Linked DNA regions of Struthio camelus. The protein of the gene in region 2 purifies or fractionates together with the protein of the main gene of each other region. This does not show direct contact. Links are inferred from orthologs where the notes say so. Each region holds a gene or a part of one and is shown on either strand. Other genes may lie near its edges.

The links.
Region 1: the proteins of CDC27 (region 2) and NEK2 purify together in Homo sapiens (affinity purification with mass spectrometry; 6 studies listed by BioGRID and IntAct, with this or other methods). This does not show direct contact. The link is inferred for Struthio camelus from reciprocal best matches to the Homo sapiens genes CDC27 and NEK2.
Region 3: the proteins of CDC27 (region 2) and UBE2S purify together in Homo sapiens (affinity purification with western blotting; 4 studies listed by BioGRID, with this or other methods). This does not show direct contact. The link is inferred for Struthio camelus from reciprocal best matches to the Homo sapiens genes CDC27 and UBE2S.

What each region holds. Positions count from the first base shown.
Region 1 is NC_090944.1:113,862,507-113,870,248, forward strand, and holds the start of NEK2 (serine/threonine-protein kinase Nek2), read right to left. Parts: upstream 3,007-7,742; 5' UTR 945-3,006; coding exon 768-944; intron 604-767; exon of another isoform or gene 552-603; coding exon 334-551; intron 1-333. UniProt on the Homo sapiens protein: Protein kinase which is involved in the control of centrosome separation and bipolar spindle formation in mitotic cells and chromatin condensation in meiotic cells.
Region 2 is NC_090966.1:4,355,331-4,362,863, forward strand, and holds the start of CDC27 (cell division cycle protein 27 homolog), read left to right. Parts: upstream 1-4,522; 5' UTR 4,523-4,666; coding exon 4,667-4,693; intron 4,694-7,533. Other genes in the region: uncharacterized protein, read left to right, coding at 74-102. UniProt on the Homo sapiens protein: Component of the anaphase promoting complex/cyclosome (APC/C), a cell cycle-regulated E3 ubiquitin ligase that controls progression through mitosis and the G1 phase of the cell cycle.
Region 3 is NW_027182594.1:68,619-76,225, forward strand, and holds the start of UBE2S (ubiquitin-conjugating enzyme E2 S), read right to left. Parts: upstream 3,007-7,607; 5' UTR 2,800-3,006; coding exon 2,797-2,799; intron 2,403-2,796; coding exon 2,382-2,402; intron 1,038-2,381; coding exon 890-1,037; intron 662-889; coding exon 471-661; intron 1-470. UniProt on the Homo sapiens protein: Accepts ubiquitin from the E1 complex and catalyzes its covalent attachment to other proteins. Catalyzes 'Lys-11'-linked polyubiquitination.

The sequences.
Region 1 (7,742 bases), on a different chromosome or scaffold from region 2:
ACTGTTTAAAGTTCTCCCAGTCATGCACAGCACAGTACCCCAAATCCCTTCACCACCTTCTGCCTCAGAAAGGGTCAATGTTCTTTACTCTTTGGATACAGAGAAAGAGCAATCCTATCACTAGTGGCATCCTCCAGCACAGTTCCCACCAGCATAGCTATTTTGTACAACCCCTTCACATTTCAGAAAAGTTGCTACATTCAAGAGATTAGATTTGAACATGTTAGGGGGCTATTAAGGGATGCAACCCCCCCCTTTCGGGCTTGTTCTTTTCATCACCCGAGATACTTTGCGCTAGAGACTCTAGGGCTGTCACAGCGGGCTCTCACGTACCTTTCCTTCGTGCACCGTGCGATGAGGCTGGCCAGGTCACCCCCGTCACAGTACTCCATCACGATGTACAGGGTCGTGCTGCTCCGGTCGATGATGCGATCGTAATAGCGGACGATGTTCGGGTGCTTCAGCTCACGGAGCAAATTCACTTCCGAAACAAGCATCTGCTTCTCTGCCTCTGTCATGGAGCCGTAGTCGAGCTCCTTCCAAACTAAGACCTTGGGGGGGGGGGGAAGGAAGGGAAGAAGGAAGGGGGGAAATTCAAAGAGACTGACACACGAAACAGAGCAGGGGGAGGACTGTTAAAGCCGCTCGCTTACGCCGAAGAGCCGCCGGGAGGCCGCGCATGCGCAGCACCACCGGCCCGCCAGGGCGAGGCGCGATGCGAGGAGCGGCACAGCCCCTCACCCTTGCCCCCCCCCCCCCCGCCTCACCTTGCCGTCAGCCTTGCGGCGCACCTTGCGGCACTTGCCGTAGGAGCCGGCGCCGATGGTGAGCAGCACCTCGTAGTCCTCGGGGCGGCTGGGCATGACGGCGCAGACGCGGCCCCCGCCGAGCCGAGCCGGGCCTCGGCACCTGCCGCGTTTAAACGCGCCGCCCCTCCCGCCCATTGGCCGGGCCTCCCAGCCCCGCCCACGCGACCCGCCTTCCCATTGGCTGCCCCGCCGTAAACAACGCCCGCCAGGTAACGGCCGTTACAACGGCCGCACCGCGGCGTCAGGGAGCCATCGCGAGAGCTGCCGCCTGCCCGCCGCTCTCCCTTCCCCCCCCCCCCCCCCCAACCACCCTCCCGGGGGGCGGCAGCGGCGGTGCTCTGCCGGGCCGGGGGGACGGGAGGGCCCTCTCCCGGTAGGCTTCGGAGAGCGAGGCGCGCCGCGGGTATCCGCGCTTCCCGTCAGGCCCGCTGAGGGACGCGGCGGCCGCCGGAGCTCCCCCTCGCTCGGTAACTTCCTCTCGCGGAGGTAGTCCGACGGAAGCAATCCCGGCCGCTGCCGCTGGGCAAACCCTTCGGCTCAAATGGGTGGTAAGCGCTGGCGAGCCTCTCCGGCGAAGGCCCAGCGCCCCCCCCCCCCCCCCGGCTGGATGGGGACGGCGCCTGGCCTTCCTCTCGCCCCCCAGTGCCGGCACAGGGGGCTGCTGGAACAGGAAGCGATCAACGCGTGGGGCGCTCGGATAAGCCATAAACATAACGGGTGTAGCGGTTAAAACAACAACAACAACAACAAAGATATTCGTAGCGAGCCAGGAAAAGAGACAGTCTTCCAGGAAAAACAATAAATTACTGTTCTCCCCTTTTCTAAAATAAATGTAGCTGTTGAGCAGATGCTGGTCAGAAAATTGGAAGAGCTTAATGGAGGGTTTTCTTAATATTAACAAGCATTAGCAAACTGAAAGTGCTTAAAATAATAAAAATTTGTTTCTGAAACATTCCTTTAAACCAATGAGGAAAATTCTTCATGATTCTTCAAGAAATTCTTCAATAAAATTATTTTCAAAAGTCATACCAGCTTTACTATTATACTGTATACAGATAGCTTTAGAAAAGAAGCCTAATAAATCAATAACTTACAATGTAATCCTTTTAAAACGGGAATATAGGCCTCCGATTCCAAAAGATGAGTCAGTAGTTTTAATATATTAGATAACATTATGGGGATATTTTTAAAGGTATGTAATGTATTTTCTAGCATTATTTAGGGTAATTTTGGAGTGATACTGGAGCGGAGTTCTGGTTTCAGTTCTGCTTAATCCCTCTCCTTGTGGACGTGCCTGTGCTTGAGGCAGCGACTCCTAGTTCTTCAGCAGAGTATTATAACTCACCAGTATAATTTCTGGATCAGGCACAAAAGGGAGTTGTTCTCAAGCTTTCAGCAACGTGAGAGATTTTCAGAACATGGCCGGAGGACAGAGTAATATCTCATATCGCATCTACACATGGTCCCATTAATCATTTCCCCATTTTGTTTCAAAAGGGTTTGAGGGGCTTAGGGGGTCATGGTGTTACTGAATATTTATAAAATATTCTTATATTATTAGCCTTCAGAAAAATCTAAGCCATTACTTTCACCAGCAAGAGGCACAAAAGCTCCTGTTATCCATTATAAAGATCCTATAGCTTTCTATTCACAGATAATGTTTGTTCATTACAGAAAAAATGAGCAAATGAATTATACAGTGTAAAAACATTTTAACTTTGTTAATGAGTAACAGGGTGCTCTGAATGACTCATTTTAAGTCTGATTTTAATTACCTTAAGAAGAAGATCCTCATCATTAGCATCATAAATAAAATATGACATTATGCAATAAGAATAACAAAAAATACTGTATTATTAGGCAGGCTGTAAGCTTCATTTCTGATTTCAGATATGTCTCAGTTTCAAACTTCTGTACTTTCAAGCAAAAGGTCATGACACGTTCCCACTGTTATGAAAGGGAGTCTTTCTATTTGTATTTCAAAAGAAATAGAGTAGGTTTTGAATACTGTGTTTGCTCTAGGGGCTATCTTGAAGTTTTCTTTAGGAATGTAAGTTTGAATCAGAGAAATGTCAAAATGTCATGCTCCAAAGACCAGCAGCATAGTAATTTTAGTTCTGATTACACTTGTTTTATTTTAAGAGTTGGGTAATTTGAGAAAAATTCTTTTTCTAAAAGCAATCAATAAAAATTTCAGGAGGTACCCTGTTTTCTTTCCTTCTGTCTGATTTCCACCCTGGTCATATGAGAGAACCCAAAGAGTCCAATGTTTCCAAGTATATATTTGAAGTTTAAATGGAGGCCTCTCTTGTCACATGCTGTATTTTTAATCTCTGATGTCTAGTCTAGAAGCAACTCAAGTTTCTAGTCTTGAAAGTGCACGTGCTGACTTCAGGTCTTTGAAAGCTGCCAAATAGTTCTCAATAATCCATTTTTAGTGTTGTTTCTAATGTTTGATTCTGCTTTTTCTCATCAAATTTCATTAATCATTTTCCAAAACTTAACAAAAACCTAAGATTCTTCTGTTACTTTCTGCCAAAGTTTGTCAGTTTTTGTGCCATAAGGTTCCTTTTCTCTTATTCCAGGTCATAGTTATTTGATAAAATATTAAATGCTGAAGATAAATAGTAAGATCAATGCACTATTTCTTATAAATATTTTAATTTTTGTGCATGGAAATAACTAACAATAAATGCCTAACACTTTGCTGTGGGAGTCCAGCCAAGTATATCTATATAGATAATATTTAATAGCAGCCTAGTTTTTTAAAATACTATAGCAAATTAAACTACGTTTCTGAGAACTTTTCTGGTAATGAAGCAAAAAAAATTACCTAGAAGTACATGTTCAGGAAGAGAAAAGAAGCTCAGTAGGAAGTACTGAAAGTAAACATAGAGGATTATAGTGAACAATAATACACTTTATAAAAATAACTAGAAAAATATCTGAGGAAAATCCTGTCTTGTCTCTTCAAAGAGGTGATAGACATGTAAAATCATGTTTCTGGACCTCAGAAAGGTGCCGAGTCTTCCAGCCAAAAAGGAGGAATTGAGTACCTGAAAGATCTTAATAAGTCCTTTGAGTGACAAGAAGAGAAATTATAAATATTGGGATGATTGAGACATCAGTGTTTTATTTTAGTTCATCTTCTCCACGTGAGTATTTTGTTTTTTTAATATTAAATTGGATTTGAAGTCCTGACACGTAGTTATGGATATTCTGTTTTTTTCTTACATTTTTTCTTTTGCTCTTGTGCACAGAAATCTTGCATTTACCCAGGTTCATTGTACATAGATGACATAACATCTTTAACTCTGTTTTTCTAGTTGATGACTTTGTTGTAAAAATTCACGTCTCAGGATTAACAAACACACACAAATACTGGGATATTAGACAGCGGTACTCTCCTCCTTCAGACACATCCCCAGTGTGGCAAACTTTCTGAATTTAAACAGATCATTAGTTAAGCAGAGATTAATGAAGCATGGTGGTTGTGGATTTAAAAAACAAACAAACAAAAACCTTGTATTGTAGAATAAATTAATCTGGTGAAACAAAGTTCAGAACAGTCACTTTGTTTCTTTTAGGCCTGAATTCCAGAATGCAAGACTTCTTTCCAAACTCTTGACTAATGTTCTCTGGGTTTGTGGGATACTGCAGTTTACAGTATCTAGAATCAGAAAATTTGAGATATAATCAGAAGGAATATTGATTTTGATATCTGGGCCAGACATCCACATTGAACGCACTCACATATGAAAGATGAGAAGAACAGTCTAAAATGCCGAGGGACTTATCCATGGCATGTTATTAAATGTCAGAAAAAAAGTATCAGAGAGTCAAATTTCCTAGTATTTTTCCTGAGCTGGTTTGGGAGGAAACAAGAACATGTTCATTGAAGAAATTCTGCACAACACAGCTGTGGACAGGACAGCTAAGGAACAAAATTCAGAAGCAGTAATTATAGTGATTAAAAATACTATACTTTTCTTTTTTTTTTTTTTTTAAGTGTTAGGACTCAGAGCTATCTCAGACTCCAAAAGAAATGCGTGCAGCAGGCAAGCTTCAAAAGGGGAGTTTGTTGCAGCAGCTGTACCTTTATGGTTTTCCAATACAAACTAGAAAAATTAGGAAAATAAAAAACACATGAGTGAAAACAAATGCGGCAGCAGTGGAAGTTTTTGCAAGTACTGAAAGAAGAGCTAACTGCATGGGAATTAATGAGGAGGAGACCGAGGAGAGTAAAGAAGACATACTTTTGCATTCAGAGAGGGGAACATACAAATTTTACTGAATCCAGATTTGCTCTACCCATTGCTTGTATTCTATAACTGAATATTTAAATACCTGGCTGAATATTTTGAAAGTGTGTCATTACTTAGTTCTCTATCTTAGAGTGAAACTAACAGCCCTATCTACTATATATGTCTTCACTTATTTGCTAATTTTTAAAATGAATATTATTTACCTTATGAACAGAAGGTGTTTGAATTGATCTTTAAGGGTGCTTTTTAAACTGATTAAGATACTCATTTTTTGAGGTGTAAAGAACTTCAAAAGTCAAATTCCTGAGTAATCTTAAATCCTAAATTCACCAACAGCTAAAGAACTGCTGTTGTCCCTAAGTAAGAAATGTAGTATAACAATTTGTGATTTCCCTTCTGGGCTGTCTTATAACTCAGTCCATGAAAACAGACAGTTCGGTCTCTGTGCCTCAATTATCCCTCTTTTAAAGGGGAAGTAATGTACTTACCCTCCACGGTGAAGCTTATAGGTAGTACACCTCAAAATATTTGACTAAAGGATGCATTAGACAATACAATAGATAAATATATTGCTGGCCTCAACTGTCCAGTTTAAAAACAAAAAACAAACAAACAAAAATTTAGGGATTTCTTTTGTAGAATTGTTTATCTCAAATATTATTCCATGAATTTTTTTTTACTTACAGTCTCTTCAAATATATTGAGGTACAGCTTTCACCAGATCTGCATACAGTGTTATTGTCACAGGCATTTTCATTACCACAGCACTCATTAATTCTCTAACAGCCGTGACTATGGATACATGCCACCCATAAGAATAGTAGATTTTCCCCTATCTTGGTGTCCCTAAACTCAAATTACAAGAAACTGTTTGCTTGATTTTACACAGGAAAGACTTGAATTTTGGAGCTGCTGTGCACCTGTAACTCGAATTGCCTTAGCAGGGATCCTGGTATGCCAGTTTCCCAATGATGATACCAAAAAAAGAATTTAAAAACAAGACAGTCCAAATGTGACCGTCTGGAATAGTATTTTCCATTGAGAACATGCCAGTTGCCTAGAACTTAACAAACAGTTTTTATTTCACATAGAACTGATTTTTTTGTCTAGCTCCCTATGGAAATGGAACTTAAGTGACCATATCACAAGTATGTTTCTACTAGCCCTCCATCCCTCCCCCATTAACTTACTCCTAAAAATAATTACCTTCCTACACGTTCCAAAAATATAACTGAGCAGATAGAGAAGGAAGATCCTAAAGAGTTCAACTATGTTATTAGAGCAGAGAATCCACATGGATTATTATTATCCTTATGGATGGACTCACATTAATGTTGATGCAGTTGCAGGAAAATCTTTGACTAATGTGTGCACTCTAGACACCAGAGAATCTAACCATGCACTACAAATCCAAAGGAAAACAAGCTTCATTAGCTCCTCTGCTTACTGAGCTACCTGTTTTTTTAAGATGTTATCTATTATTCTAAAACCAAACTGAAATCAGGTCAGGTGAAATGTAGTCAGGTGATTACAGTGAGTAAGTGCTTTCATGTGGAGAAAATACCTGGTACTTACAGGCTCTTTAGACTAATGGAGAAAGGCATAACATGAACTAATTTTTGGAAGATGAATCAAATAGGTTACAGGAAAAGGCACATAATTTTAGCTGAGAGGATTATCCTGACCCATGGTAAATGCAACCATGTAGAAAATATCAAAAGTTACCTGGAAATATCTGGGACCAGGTTCATGCAGGACCTACTGCATGAAAGATCTCTATTCAGGGCTGATATCACCATCCTGGGGATTGCCTGTTCAGTAGCATTATTTACCCTAGGCCTATGACAAAGCACAGGAAAAAATAAGTCAAAAGGGTCACTGCAGCACAGGGTGGTTTTGTATCCAAATAAAAAAAATATCTATTGTCAGGCTTTCCTGGAAAGGCTGGACTACACAATCAGTAACTGGAAGGCGTTCAGAGTGCTTAAGTAAAAATACTAATAGGGATATATTCACTGCAATTGGCAGGTGGCTATGCTTCAACTGTCTGTGCATGGCATGGTCTCACAAAGGAAGGACACCTATAAAAAGAGCAGAGCTGTCTAAAGAGGCTAAATACATCACGAATGGCTGTGTGAAGTCTGGAGCTAGGACCAGCCAGTTCCTAAGACATCATCCTAAACCAACCTCAGTCCTTGGCATCCTTGCATACGCTCCTAGAGTATTATCTCAGAACTGTGCCTGGTTGTAATATCACATCCTGAACCCACTGCTAAGGATTATCAAGAAACATGGAAAGAGGTTCACCAGTGCTCAGCTCCTGCTCCTGAGCCAATTACTTGATAAAGGTTGTCTTAGAGATCAGCAGTTGTTCCTGGGGAAGATCTCCTCCAAGTCCTCCGTAAGACACATCAGCATTGGAATGACGTGCCTGCCTGAAAGCCTCCAGTGCTGATGATGAAAGCCTTCAAACTGGTGAAACTTGTTCCATGGGTAAAAGGTGCTGGCTGCCTAAGTATCTTCTGGTGGGTGGCAGGCCCCAGGCTGCTGAAAGTCCCAGTTGCCTAAAAGACCTCTGCTGGGTGGAAGGCTCCTGGAGGTAGAGCAACCCCAGTGCTGTCTCCCTGTCTGTTCTGGAGAGTGCCTCCATGTGTCCTCTCATCCTTCA
Region 2 (7,533 bases):
CAGCCCCAGGCTGAGATGCCTGAGGCTTTAGCGCATGCTCTGACATCTCACACGTTTCTCGTTTTCTCCTTAGCTTTTGTCAAGCATATCATGTCTGGCTGAAACAAGGGACTTCAGGTGAGTCGGGCTCTCGCACTGTTTATGCTGAAATTGGTAATACTGGCTATAACTGTTAGGGACAGAAAACCCAAAACCTAACCCTGCAAGTGGAATAATACTACAGTAATAACCCCAGCTCTGAAAGCACGAAATGTTCACGAAAATGAACTGCATTTGTAGCTCGTGCCGTTTGAAATGTGTCCTGACCAGCCCTGTGACTGTCAGTTGTGATGTAGGAAGTGTGGCCAGTCTCTGCTTCAAACGAACGAGGTTTATGTGTTTTAGAGTGATACATTTTCTAATCCTCCTGGAGCTAAGGCGGTCATCAAACAGACACCGCTGGAGCTAAATATTTTAAAACCCGCAGAAATGGATGACTTGATGCTAAGACAACATTAAGAACTGAATAAGGAGCCAATTGTGCCAATACTTAAGAAATATCAAAATTCCTATTAGCATTAACATTAAAAAGAATATCTCAAACACACCATTTATGCTTGTTAACCTTTTTGCATTCCTCTAAGTCTGCATGAGGAAACCAGAGAAACAAGTTTCTTTCAGTATAAACTATGCCTTCAAAATCTAGACAATTTAAAAGAAAATCCAAATTAACAAGAGCTGTTCCAGCTGTTCCCAGTCTCTCCCACCAGTTTCTTCTGGTTTCAGTATCTGTTTCTTAAACATTTTTCCTCTCCTCAGCTGTGTGAAAGAAGGCCGCAAGCAAAAAAAAAAAGAAAAAAAAGAAAGAAAAAGAAAAAAGATCTGACCTTCAGATACTGTTAAATACACAAATTAAACATTTAAAAATATCTTTTCCTCTACAAATCTCTTCAAACATCAGAAGGTTAAAACAGAGGCAGACAGAAGTCTGAACTTTTGAATGTTCAGCACCTTCTTATCTTGCTTTTAATCTATTTCTCTCTGGTTCCTGTTCATCAGCTCAGCAATGTAAGCGTTTAAGTGGCAAATGCTGCTGGGGAGGTTTAAGTCTACATGAAACTATTTGCAGGAAGCACTGATTTTTAAAGGCATGGAAGGACGGCTATTGACATTTTGGGTTCGTCTGAGAAGCAGCTCTGTCATTTCAAAGATTCATTGCATTAAGCCCTCTCATTCTCGTCTCCCAGGTTTTTGGAAGCGTTTGAATCCACTTGAGCAACACAAACAGCGAGATTCCTCTGTCTGTATCCCTTCTTCCCTGGATGGCCTGAGTCTGCAGTGGTGTTTCATGAGCCGCAGCGAGGAGTTTGCCTCCATACTTGTGTGCCTGATCCTCAATATATAAAGGGATACACATCTGACCCTTGGTTTTAAACCTTATTCTTTCAAGTTTTCCCCTGTGACATTTGGCTCATTAAATTTTATTCCCTCCCCTCTTAAGTTATCTGTGTTTTGGCTTTCGACTAGTCAGTGAAACGTTAGACAGAGGAGATCAGGGCCACCAGTGATCAGACGTGGCAAGATGTTCCCTCGAAAAGGGAAACAAGGCTGGTTTTATGACCCCTGTGCTTGAGGCAGGAGTTCAAACTTGGAGGTAACGGTCTTTATTCATCACCCTCAGTGTGGGCCAGGAGCTGGACTGCAGTTTGGGCATGTCTCGCTGCTAGATCTAGGTAGGCTTTGGTAGAGCAAAGAGGGCATGAGGGAGAGGTTGCATCCACAGACCCTCTGTTCATGGGGACTCACCTGCTGTCTAACCTGAAAGCACCTTTTCTTAGCCCAACTAGTATCACTGAAAAAATCAAGGTTTTTGGTACCTGCTGAAGTACCAAGATCTTGAAGCTCTTGAGCTAGTAAAAGATACTACCTCTTCCTTAAAACCAGGCCTTTCTCAGGCATGCAGCCCATCCAACTTGCAGCAACCAGTGTAAAAGCCACAAGTATATTGCTTACGTCGAAAAGTTGCATGTAGAGCAGGAGGGCTTGTGCAATGCAAGCCGGTGGCTCTCTCCTTCTACCTACCTGCAAAAGATCACCATATTCTCCCAGAAGTGGTAAATAATTCATGACAGATAATTCAGCCCTCCTCTCAGCAGAGTGCCTGGGAGTAGATAATGCTTTTCGTTGATTTGTCCTTTATTCAAATGTCCTTGCTCTGAGCCTTATGACTAGAAATTCAAAATATTTTGCTTCAATGGAGTTGACTTCAGTTGCCACTTGCTCAACTCCGTTCAGTGACTGGGTAACAGCTGCTTTTAATTCCCACTGCTGCATACAAATGCTCATAAGCAGCAACATGAGCTGTTTGTAGATGCAAGATTAGCTTTTAGCTTCTGTGTCTGTGGTATTTCTATAGCTTCCATTAGAGGGCATCTGGGCATCTCATGCCTTTAAAGTATTATCTGTGTTTTAACCTGTTAAAGGACTGTGGTGACAGAATGAGAGAGTACACTGTGTTTGCCCTTGCCATCACCTCCATGGCATTTGCGCTGGCAGAGGAACGTGCTGTTACAGATAGGAACCGAGCAGTAGAACCGAGCAGGGGGACCTGCCCCAACTTGCAGAGAAAATCTGTAGCAGAGGCTGGGGGCCCTGCGAGTTGTGATATTCTTGCCCTGGCAAGTCAAGAGGCCGCGCTCTCACTCCTGCATGCAAAGTGTAAGCTTTGCGTTTGAGCCTCCAGCTTCTTTGCAGACTGGAATGACACCGTAAATTAAAACCAAAGAGGTTCTTGCAAAGAGACAGACAGTAAGAGAGCGGCAGGGAAAAGAGCGAGAGAATGAGATAAAACATGAGTGCCGTGAAATCCAGCCTTTGAAGTGCCCTCAGGGATAGAGACAATCACCCATCCCTTTGGGGGACCTGTTCTGTTTCTTTTGGGATAAAGTGGAGCTGATTTATACCCAGACCGGTTGGAATGATGCACTTAGCAGGTGTAGTGGAAACCTACGTCTTTTCATGCCCTGCCACCTCCGTTGGTCGAAATCAGCCCTGCATACAAGTCCTCGCTGTGGGGCGGTGAGGGGCAAAGGGAAGAGGAGGGTGGATTCACACCCTTGACCAGGTTGTTGGTGTAACCTTCACGTGCTTGGCCGTTTGGGCATCCTGACAGGCAGGACACAACTGCTAAGCAAAGCCGTCCTGAGGATGCCAACTGGCAGCCCTGTTTGTCCAGCTGCCCCAGGTACGTTCGCTGCCCCACCACCTGCCTCTGCCACTGAAAAAGCCCTACGAGCTGGCGGTTTTAGTCCCGCGGACATTTATAAAAAGCATCTGCGGACACCTGCGAGCGTCCCCGCACGCAGAAACGGCACGTCAGGGCCAGAGGAACCTGAGTGTCCCAAGACGATAGTCAACGCTGTGCCCTTTTATAGCCCGACGCTTCACTCCGAGCCCAGGGCACTCCAAGGAGAGGTAAAAATAACCCCCCGGCCCAAGGAGAGCCTATGGCCGTATCTCCTCAGCTTGCGATAAGACGGAGACGCACACCAAAGATGGTCTGAGTTTCGGGGGAGTCGGCGCTGTCCCTGTGAAATGAAGAGCCGGACGGAGCCAGCTCTGGCCCGGAGGAGCTATCAGCAGCTCAGGGCAGGGCGGCGAGGCCGAGACGGGGCCGAAGAGGACGCGCTGTGGGCCTTGAACGGAGCCCTAAGCTGCGTGCCCGCGTACGTACACCACCGGCCCCGTCGGCTCGCGCGGCCGAAGGCCATTAGGCTGCACCGGATCGCACCGGCGGCGCCCATGGCCTTGGGCGCCCGACCCCACGGTCAGCCGGGCCTCCATGTTAGGGGGAAGCACTGCTCCGTGACCCATTTTCTCGCTCCTCTCCGGTCAGGGAGCGAAGAACGCCTTGCCTGTGGGTGCCAAGCCGCCTACACCCTGAAAGCAAACACCTGCAGATTTATCGGAGCGACTACAAACTTGTAAATACGCTATTCGGGGCTGCCCGGGCTACAGGCACCTGGGGGAGCCGGTAGCCCGCGGCAGGAGCGCTTCCCCCCTCCGCGGCCCGGGCGGGAACGGCGCTGCCCACCCGCTCTACCGGCAGCTTTTAATTTAATTTAACCCGGCGGGGGCTGCAGGCCTGAGGCAGCAGCCGCCAGGGAGGCTCTGAGGGAAACAACCGAGCGGGTCGTAACCGGATCCTGCCGGGGGGAGAGGGGGGAAGCACCGAGCGGCCCCGCCGCGCCTCAGCGCCGCCAGGCCCCCCCCGCTCCCGGCCGCCTCCCGCCCTCCCTCCCCCCTGCGGCCCCCGCCCCGCCCCGCCGCGCCGCTCGGCAATCTCCGGCCGCGCTCGGGCGGTTCCGCCGGCTCGGGCTCTTCCGCCTCGCCGACGAGCGGGGGCTTTCCCAGCTGTTTTCCGTCAGCGCTCGGCTCTTTCCGCCGCCAGCTTCGGCTATTTCCGCCAGCGCGTTCGGGTGTTTCCGCCGCCAGCTTCGGGCGGACTCGGGCGCTTGGCCGGCCTCGTTCCTTCCCTCCCCGCCGCCTGCCCCGGTAACGGTCGCTGGGAGTTTAAATGAGCAGGGGCCGGGCCGGGCCGCGCCGCCGCCGGGACACGCACTGAGGCGGGGCCGGGGCCGCCGCGCTCCGGGCTCGGCGACGAGGAGGCGGAGGTCGGGGGAGCAGGATGACGGTGCTGCAGGAACCCGTCCAGGTACCGACCCCTGGGCGGCACGGGCTCGGGCTCGCCGCCGCGCTCAGGCCCGAAGGCCCGGCCCGGCCCGGCCTGGCCTAGTGGGGGGAACCGGTCCCGCCGCGGGGGCCTCGCGGCCGCCGGGCCCTCTCCTGCCGCGGGGGATCCCCGTTGCCCTCCTCGGCCCGCTCCCGGCGGGGGCTGCGGGCCCCGGGGCTGCCCCTCTGCCGCGGCCGCCGGCGGTGCGAGCGGGGCCCGGCCCGCAGGGCGCCTCTGCCCTGCCCGTTGGGACCCTCCAGCCGCCGTGGGGCTGCTGGGCTTCCTCTGCCCTCCGGGCGACCCTAGGGACGGGCTTCCCCCGCCCCCAGGGGGTGCTCGGGCCCCTCCGGATCCCCGCCCGGTGTCCCCCCCCCCGCAGGAGGTGTCGGGCGCCTGCAGCGCCGCAGCCAAGTCTGCTTCCAGAAGAGGCCCCTCTGCTTCCCCCCCACCCCCTGGATCCCCCGGGAGACCTGTTGATGCTGCTCTCTCCATCTCGCTTACCTGTCGGCATTTGCTGCCGTTTCCCTTTTATTAAATGCTCACGGTGTGCTTGGCTCTGTATGTGTCGTGCGAATGAAGGACGTGCCTTATTCCCCAGGAGCTGGTATCGTCAGACTGATAGGAGACCTGGAAGAGAAAATAACGTAAATGTCATCGTTTCCCTACCATATTTTAGTCTAATTGCAATTCTCCTGGTGGACTTCCCACCCTTGGTTTAGTCTTCCCATCCAAAACACAGGATTCATAAACTAAAGAAGTTGCTTCCTCTTTCCACCTTTCCTATATGCACATTGCTTCAGCCTTTCTGTAATCTTCCATTAACTGCTCTTCTTTTTCATGCCTCTTTTTCCTTTTGTATTTTGGCTTTTCTAACACTTTTTCCCTTGATAGGTGAAGAACCTCTCGCTGTGTTTTGTTAGTACAGGAATTCTGTACTGTAATGAACAGAGTGAAATCATTGCTTATGGCTCTCCTCCCTTCCTTTAATGAGAAGAAGATCAGGGGGAAGAAAGATTTCTGTGGAAGACCACCTTGCTCTCTTGACCCTGTCCATGCAAAATGGTGGCAGTGATGGCCCTGCTGCTGCAGAGCAGGGGTTTGTGCCCTTGGTGCTGTTGTTCTGTTGGTCTGCTCTGAGAGCAGCAGTCAATGGGGTGCTGGAAATGCTTGCAGCCAGCTGGTTCCTCTTCTGCAGTGGTTGTACTCAAGCTGTTGCGGTGATGCTGGAGCTGGACTGCTGTTTTGCATCAGTTGGGTATTCTAGGAAAACATTTACAATAGAAAAGGAAGAATGTGTATTTTGGAGTGAATGACAGGAAACAATAGTTAATGTTTCCGGTACTGTGCTAATTAGACTAACCAAGTGGAAAATAATCTGTTGTTCTGAGACTTCCCTAGCAGAAAAGCGCAGTCTTATTTTCTCTCAGAAATGTAGAGACCTATCTAATGACATTCTCCATACTTGAGCACTTACCAATATGTTTTGAATATGTTTTGATGGGGCTTTGCTAGATTGAATATATCCATTTTGACTCCATCTACTTTGAAATGCCAAATAATTCTTTGGTCAGTGGTTCTACTACTGTCTGCCTTGCTGCTGTTCTATGCTTACAGCAGTACTAGTAAGTGTGGGATTTATTGGTAGCTGTAGCCTTGGTCCCACTGCTCCTTTCAGTGGCAGGGAAGTAACCAGTGCACCCTCCAAAACGAAGTCAACATTTGAGTTTTCCCCAGGTCCTGACTGTGCTTGAATGAATTTCTGTTCCTAAACATGCTCACTCCTTTTCTGCCCTCCAACAGATTTTTTTTTTTTTTTTTAGTTGCTTGCTTCCCCATTCTGTGCTGGTGACTTGACAGAAGCCTGGCTGCCTTGGTCACCTGTAGTCTTTCTTGGGGATGGATGGGGCAGCGGTGTGGGGACTGGACCGCTATATTACAGTGACTTTCCAAAACAGCTCATATTTATTGTGTTATTGATGTAATGTGTCCAGTGATCAGTCTCAATCTAAATTCATACTGCAAAATGAAGTCTGTTGTACTCCAGCCTTAATGGGAACTGAAAATTACAAGTACTTATCTCTGGTTGACTGTTGTTGTGTGTTTAACAATATTTTTGTAAAAGGTGGTGGTGGTACTTCTTTTTTTTTTTTTTTTGTCCTTCCAGAGATTTCTCCTGTCTAGTTGTCTCTTCTCTCCCAGGCTTGCAAATGTCTACAGGGTTTGTCATTCCAGGAAAAACTGTCATCCTTACAGTCGTAATATGCGAACTGTGGCAGATAAACAATGAAATCTCTGTGTGTATGTTGCCTTGTAAATGTTGGGTCTTAAGTATATGAAGTTCTTGTCCTGAAAAGCTTCCAGTTCACTGGTTAGGCTTCCCCTTACGCACACGTACCCTTAATATGAATAAAAGTGCCAGAGTTTAAGTAGAGAACAGACCCCTACTGTACTTCCTGTTGTGGTCAATTAAAACTCTTCAACTCAAACATAAAGCCATTTATCCCATGTGCTGAGAAGCAGATTGAATGCCTTTTAAAATATTTCTGAAAAACATCCTGAAAACAAATGGTTTTCTTAGACTTTAACTGTTCAAGGTAATCATCTGCTGAGATCCACTTGAGTGATGCTTTAACTCCAAGGCTGTGTTGCTGTTATGGCTGTATACCTGTACTGTTAGTATCTCAGTGTTCAATTATTTAATGGATAGACTTTCCGTAACTAGTAAATGCAGCAAGTGTCACTGAAAGTTCTCTCCTCCCCTCTGCCCCCTCTGAACAAGTCTTAAATTGTGGTAGGAAGTGATTGTTGGGCTTGTTAATAGG
Region 3 (7,607 bases), on a different chromosome or scaffold from region 2:
CCCCAGTTCCCCCAGTTTGCCCCAGGACATCCCTAATGTCACCCCCAAGTCCCCCAGTCTGCCCCAGGACATCCCTGTCACCCCCAAACCTCCCAGTCTGCCCCAGGACACCCCTAACGTCACTCCCATGTCCCCCAGTCTGCCCCGGGACACCCCCAATGTCACCCCCAAATCTCCCAGTCTGCCCCAGGACACCCCTAATGTCACCCCCAAGTCCGCATTTGCCCCGGGACTCCCCTAACATCACCCCCATGTCCCCCAACCCCAGGTGGGGGCAGCTGGGGGGGATGCAAGGCCCAGGGCAGGGCACCCTTGGGGGGGGGGGGTTGGCAGGGTGCCCCAGCTCCCTGGGCTCAGTGGGGCACCCCAGGGCCCAGCCTGACCACGTGGGGCAGCCCCCCCCCCCCACTCTTTCCCCCCCCACCAGTGTGTGCGCGTCCCCCCCCAGCCGCGGCGGGCCCCCCGCTCACCAGCAGCACGTGCCGGATGCCCAGCTCGGCCTTCCAGTCGCGCTTGAGGACGTTGACGCAGATCTCGCCGCTGGGGCCCACGTTGGGGTGGAAGATCTTGGTGAGGAAATAGCCCTTGGGGGGAGCCGCCGGGAACTCCTTGCCCAGCACCAGCTTCATGCGGAAAACGCCCCCCGCGTAGGGGGTGCCTTCTGGGGGGGGGGGGGAGAGAGGGGAAAGGGGGTGAGAGCCGGTCCGGAGCCCCCCGCGCCGTGCGCTCCCCTCCCGCTCGGCTTGGTCGGGGGGGGGGGTCCCGTCCGCATGGCGGGGGGGGACACTGTCCCCAGGACAGAGGTTGCTGTGGGGACAGGGACCCCCGCCAGCCCCACGCTGGGGGGAAGGGGGGGGGGAACCCCGGGCCTCCCCCCTCCCCGTCTCACCGGGGCCTTCGATGGTGACCTGCACGTCGGTGATGTCCTCCTCGTTGGGGAAGAGCTTGATGCCGTCGGGCGGGTCGGACGTCAGCATCGACACCTCCTTGTAGACCAGCCGCAGGATGTGGGGCGGCAGGTTCTCCACGTTGGAGTTCTGGGAAGGGGGGGGGGGGGGGAAGAGGCGTCAGAGACCCCCCCGGCACGGACCGATCTCTGCAAAAGTCGGAGGGACCCCCAGGGCCAAGCTGCCTCCCGAGCTGAGACTGGCCAACTCGCTCCACGCCAGAAATCCCAGAGGCTCTTCGGCCGCCTCGTGCTCCACCCCTCCGGACGCGGGGTATTTTTTTTTGGGGGGGGGGGGGGGGGGGGGAGGCAGCCGCCTAGGGAACGAATCTCCGAGCGCGTCCCATGCGCCAGCCCCGGCCGGCAAAAGTTTGGGCAGCGGGTGCTGCCGGGGGCATCGTTAGCAGCCCCCCCCCCCCCCCAAAACACCTAGAAACGGCCCCGGATTCGAGACGAAACGTCCGAGAAGGCCAACAAGGCCTCGGCGCGCCGGGGAAGAGACCAGGAGCGCCGAGAACGGAGCCGGTCTCCCCGAAGGCCAAAAACATCCCCCCCCCCCCCACCTCCGCTTTCCGCCCCGAGGCCCCCAAGAGCCACCCGGCCCTCAGCACCCCCCGAAGACGCGCAGGGAAGGAGCTGCCGAAAGACGATTCGGGCAGCGACGCCAACTTATCCCCCCACCGTGCTGCCAAATCGTCTCCCCCCCCCCCCCCACCAGCTGGTAGCGAGCCCCCCCCTCCCCGCAGCCCCCAGCGCAGCCGCCGCGGCCCCTTTTCCCGGACTTATTGTTGATTTAGCGGACTCTCCCCGAGGCCTAGGCGGCCGCTCGGCCGCTCTCGCCCTGCGTTTGGACGCCTTTTCGCCCGACCCGCTGCGCAGCGGGTTGGAGGGGACGGCGGCGGCGGGGGGGGGGGACGGAGGTGGCGGTGGGGGGGGGACGGACGGACGTGCTTTTACTTGGCGGCGGGAGCAAATATGTTTGTCAGGAGCGAAGGCCTCGCGCGAGGGCAGGTCGCTTCCGGCACCTCCTTCCCCCCGGCCCCGGCCTGCCAAACCGGGAGCGAGAGCAGGCCCCGACCGGGGAGGGCTTCGGACCCCCCCAGACCAGCCGGAAAAGGGGGAAGCGACGGAGGTTTGGCCGCTCCCCACCTGCGGAGGAGCCTCATGCGACCCCCCCCTTTTTATTTATTTATTTCCCCCCCCCAAAAAAAAAAAAGCCGCTATTTTCCCTCGTCCGGCCCAAGGGAGCAACTCGGCGCGCTCAAACTTTCCCGTCCCGCAGCGGGACGGCGGCGCCTGGAGGTTTGGCGCTGCCCCGCGGCCGAGGGCTCCCCCAGACCAGTCCCTGGGGCACCTGCTGGGGGGGGGGGGGCAGAATTGGGGTGAGTGGGGGGGGGGGTGCCAGACCCTAAAGCCGCTCCGGTTTCACACTCACCTGCCAGGCACCTCGAGCCTCCTGCAAGGGAAGGAAAAAGGGATGAAACGACCCATTGCTGCACCACAGCTCGTGGGGGGGGGGGGACACCCCCTGGGGCTGCATTTAACCCCCCCCCTCAAATTAAACAGGCCCAAAGGTAGCAAGTTTCAGGCTGTTGCCCCTCTCGGGGCTGGTTTCAGCCCCCTCCTGGCTGGGCCCGACAGACCCACGTTTGGGGGGGGGGGAGAAGGGGCCATGTCCCCCCCCCCTCCCCCAGTCAGCTTGAGGGGAAACAGGCCTGGGGGGGAAGGGGGAGGCAGTTGGGGGGGGGTGGTGCCCCTCTTGCCCCCAAACCCTGCCCAGCTCAAAGTGTCCCCCCCCCCCCAAAAAAAAAAGTGCACGCAAGGGGCCCAGGCGTCCGGGGAGCACTCACCATGGCGCTAGGCCCGGTGGAGGCCGCTCAGGGCCCCCCCCCCTGCCCCGGGGGGGCCTCGCCGGGTGGCCGGGGGGGTGGGGAGAGGCAGGGTCCGCAGCAGGGCCCCCCTCTCCCCACCGGAGAGCGGCAGGTGCCCGCCGATCCGCGGCGCCGCCGCCGCCGCCCGCTCCCGCCGCTCCGGCCGCCGCCGCCCACCCGTCGCACTGAGCGCGGCGCGTGCTCTGCGCCGCCCTTTATAGCCTCTTGGCCCCGCCGGACCCGCCCCCTCCCGCACCCCGCGCCAATCAGCGCCGGCGGAGCGCGGCCGCTCGGTCCCGCCCCTTCGCCGCGGTTGGGGGTGGAGCTGGGCTACCGGTGTCAAGGGCGGGCGCGGGCCAATGGGAGAAGAGGGAGGAGGGGCGGGCGCTGGGCGCTGATTGGTGGGTTCGGAATACGAACGTCGCGAGGCGGAAGGGGCGGGGCGGGAAGCGGCGGTTGTTGACGCCGTAACGGTCGGCGGGCAGGGGCGGGGCGGGAGCGTTTGAAACGGCCGATTGGCAGGCGGCTCCGCCAATGGGAGGCGGGAGAGGCCGCGCGGGGCGGTGGGAGGGGAGGCGGGAGGGAGGGAAGGGCTTGACCGGCGGGGCGGGACTTCCTCCGCTGGCGGGAGGGGGCGGTTGCGTCACTGAGCGGCAGCCGGTGCAGCCAATCAGCGAGGAAGGCGTGAGGAACGGCCTCATTCCTATTAATGTATGTAAATAAGGGCTGTCGCGGGGGCTCATGGGAAAGCTTCGTCCGGGGGGGGGATGTCCTCCCCCAACGCACCGCAGCCCCATGGGACCCCCCTCAATCTGGGACCCCCCCCCAATCTGGGACCCCCAAACTGGGACCCCCCAAACCAGCCCCCCCAGTCCCATGGGACCCCCAAACTGGGACCGCTAAACCAGCCCCCCCCTCATGGGACCCCCCCCCAATCTGGGACCCCCCCCAATCAGCCCCTCCCATGAGACCCCCCCCAAACTGGGACCCCCCAAGCCAGCCCCCCCCAGTCCCATGGGACCCCCAAACTGGGACCCCCCCAAACCAGCCCCCCCAGTCCCATGGGACCCCCAAACTGGGACTGCTAAACCAGCCCCCCCTCATGGGACCCCCCCAATCTAGGACCCCCCCAATCAGCCCCTCCCATGAGACCCCCCCAAACTGGGACCCCCCAAGCCAACCCCCCCCAGTCCCATGGGACCCCCAAACTGGGACCCCCCCAAACCAGCCCCCCCAGTCCCATGGGACCCCCAAACTGGGACCCCCCTAAACCACCTCCCCATGGGACCCCCCCAAATTGGGACCCCCCCAAACCAGCCCCCTCAAACTGGGACACCCCAAACTGGGGCCCCCAAACCACCCCCCCTTATGGGACCCCCCCAAACTGGGACCCCCAAACCACCCCCCTATGGGACCCCCCCAATATGGGACCCCCCCAATCAGCCCCTCCCATGAGACCCCCCCAAACTGGGACCCCCCAAGCCAGGCCCCCCAGTCCCATGGGACCCCCAAACTGGGACCCCCCTAAACCACCTCCCCATGGGACCCCCCCAAATTGGGACCCCCCCAAACCAGCCCCCTCAAACTGGGACACCCCAAACTGGGACCCCCAAACCACCCCCCCTTATGGGACCCCCCAAACTGGGACCCCCAAACCAGCCCCCATGGGACCCTCCCCAATCTGGGACCCCCCCAAACCAGCCCCCCCAGTCCCAGGGACCCCCGAAACTGGGCCCCCCCAAACCACCCCCCACGGCCCCCCCCCAATCTGAATCCAGCCGAGTCCCCGGCCAGGAAACGTCTGTTTATTCCCCAAAATCCCTCCCGCCCTCGGGGCGCCCCGGCCCCCCCCCATCAGGCCACCAGGTTTTTTGCTTAAAATCGGGCTTAAAAACACCCTCGAGCTGGGGGGGGGGGGGCTCCACACGCGTGTGCGCGAGAGGGACACGCGTGTGCACACGTGTCACGTCCCCCCGCCGCGTGCAAACACGTGTCGCGGGGGGGGAGAACACGCACACGCGTGTGCTGCCGCCCCCGCCCGGGCCCCGTCGTGTCCCCCCTGTCCGGGGGGGGGGGACGCTAAGGCACATGGGCCCCAGGGAGGGACACGTGGGGCGCCGGGGGGGGGAACATGTGACACCCCCCCCATGCGTGTGCAATGCCACGGACATGCGCCGGCACGCGTGTGCGCCCGCGGCACACGCAGCCCCCCCCCGGCGACGGCTCCGCTTTTGGGGCCCCCCCTTTTCTATGGCTTCGATTCGGTGGGGACGGGGCGGCCCCGGAGGTCACGGGGGGGGCACACGCGTGTGCGAGCGCCCCGTGGCTGCTCCCGCGTGGGACACGTGTGCACACGCGTGTGCCGGGGCCCCCGGGGGGGGGTAGCCCTTGGTTCGGCCGGGGGGGGGGGCTGAGACCTGACAAACTCACTGGGACAGATATGTACAAGGGGAGGGGCCCCCCGAACGCCGGCGATGACATCATCGAAGCACGGCTGTGATGTCACGGGGGAGGAGGCTGTGACATCACTGGGAAAGGGGGAGTTAAAAAGGGGTGTGCTCTCTCCGGTGACATCAGCGAAGAGAGGTGACATCATCAAAAAGGGCTCCGCCCACCCCCACGGGAGGCGGAGTCTTGGCAGTGACATCATGGTGAGGCGGGCGCCTCCGCCCTGTGACATCATCACCGGGGGGAGGGGAACCCCCGCGGCTGTGACGTCACCGACGTCAGCAACGCCCGCGGCCGCGCCGGGCGTCATCGGTCGGCGACGGCGCCGCCCCGACCGTGACGTCATCGGGGGGCGACGGGAGTCCGCAGTGCTGACATCATCGGGAGTCGCGGCCCCCGCGGGCTTGACATCATCGAGAAGCGGCGAAGGCCGGGGGAGGCGCCGGGCGCCCCGGGCGCCTCTGACATCATCGCGAGCCCGGGGGAAGGCCGCGGGCTGCTGTGACATCATCGGACGGCAGGTCCGACGCTGTGACATCACGGGACGGCGAGTCCGACGCTGTGACGTCGTCGGGCGGCGAGTCGAACAGGGCGACGGCGCCAGCTGCTGCCGCCTCCGGGGCTGTGACGTCACCAGCCGCAGAGGCCGAGGCTGACGTCATCACCGCCAAGCCCGCGGCCGCGACGTCGTCGGCCACCGAGCACCAGGCTGTGACGTCATCACCCGCCGAGCCCGAGGCTGTGATGTCATCAGCCGCTGAGCCCGAGGCTGTGACACCGCTGGCCACCGAGTGCAGAGGTGACACCGTCAGCCCCAGGCTGTGACGTCGTGCGCTGCAGAGCTGAGTGCTGTGACGTCATCAGCTGCTGAACCCCAGGCTGCGACGTCATCAGCCGCCCAGGGCAGAGGTGACACCGTCATTCGCCGAGCCCCGGGCTGTGACGTCACCAGCTGCCGAGCTGGATGCTATGACATCATCAGCCGCCGAGCCCCGGGCTGTGACGTCACCAGCTGCCGAGCTGGGTGCTATGACATCATCAGCCGCCGAGCCCCGGGCTGTGATGTCATTAGCTGGCCGAGTCCAGAGCTGCACCGCGCCGTGCCGAGCCGTGTTGTGCCGTGTCGAGCCGTGTTGTGCCGTGTCGAGCCGTGTCGTGCTGCACCAAGCCGTGTCGTGCTGCACCGAACCATGTCAAGCCGTGTTGTGCCGTGCCGAGCCGTGTTGTGCCGTGTTGTGCCGTGCCGAGCCGTGTCGTGCTGCACCGCGCCGTGCCGAGCCGTGTTGTGCCGTGTCGAGCCGTGTTGTGCCGTGTCGAGCCGTGTCGTGCTGCACCGCGCCGTGCCGAGCCGTGTTGTGCCATGTCAAGCCGTGTTGTGCCGTGTCGAGCCGTGTCGTGCTGCACCGCGCCGTGCCGAGCCGTGTTGTGCCGTGTCGAGCCGTGTCGTGCTGCACCGCGCCGTGTCGTGCTGCACCGCGCCGTGCCGAGCCGTGTTGTGCCGTGTCGAGCCGTGTTGTGCCGTGCCGAGCCGTGTCGTGCTGCACCGCGCCGCGTTGCGCCGCACCGAGCCGCGCCGTGTCGTGCCGTGCGGTGCCGTGCGGTGCCGTGTTGCACGGTGCCCAGCCGTGTCGCACCCTGCCGTGTCGCACAGTCCTGTGTTGCGCCGTGCGGTGCTGTGCAGCGCCGTGGTGCACAGTCCTGAGCCGTGTCGCGCGGTGCCGTGTTGCACCAAGCGGTGTCGCACCACGCGGTGCCGTGTTGCACGATGCTGTGTTGCACAGTGCCATGTCGCGCGGTGCCATGTTGCACGGTGCCGTGTTGCACTGAGCCATGTCGCGCGGTGCCATGTCGCGCGGTGCCATGTTGCACGGTGCCGTGTTGCACTGAGCCATGTCCCGCGGTGCCGTGTCGCGCGGGTGCCGTGTTGCACTGAGCCATGTCGCGTGGTGCCATGTCGCGCGGTGCCATGTTGCACGGTGCCGTGTTGCACTGAGCCATGTCGCGTGGTGCCATGTTGCACGGTGCCGTGTCGCACGGTGCCGTGTTGCACTGAGCCATGTCGCGCGGTGCCATGTCGCGCGGTGCCATGTTGCACGGTGCCGTGTTGCACTGAGCCATGTCGCGTGGGTGCCATGTTGCACGGTGCCGTGTCGCACGGTGCCGTGTTGCACTGAGCCATGTCGCGTGGTGCCATGTTGCACGGTGCCATGTCGCACGGTGCCGTGTTGCACTGAGCCATGTTGCATGGTGCCATGTTGCACGGTGCCATGTTGCACGGTGCCGTGTTGCACTGAGCCATGTCGCGTGGTGCCATGTTGCACTGAGCCATGTCGCACGGTGCC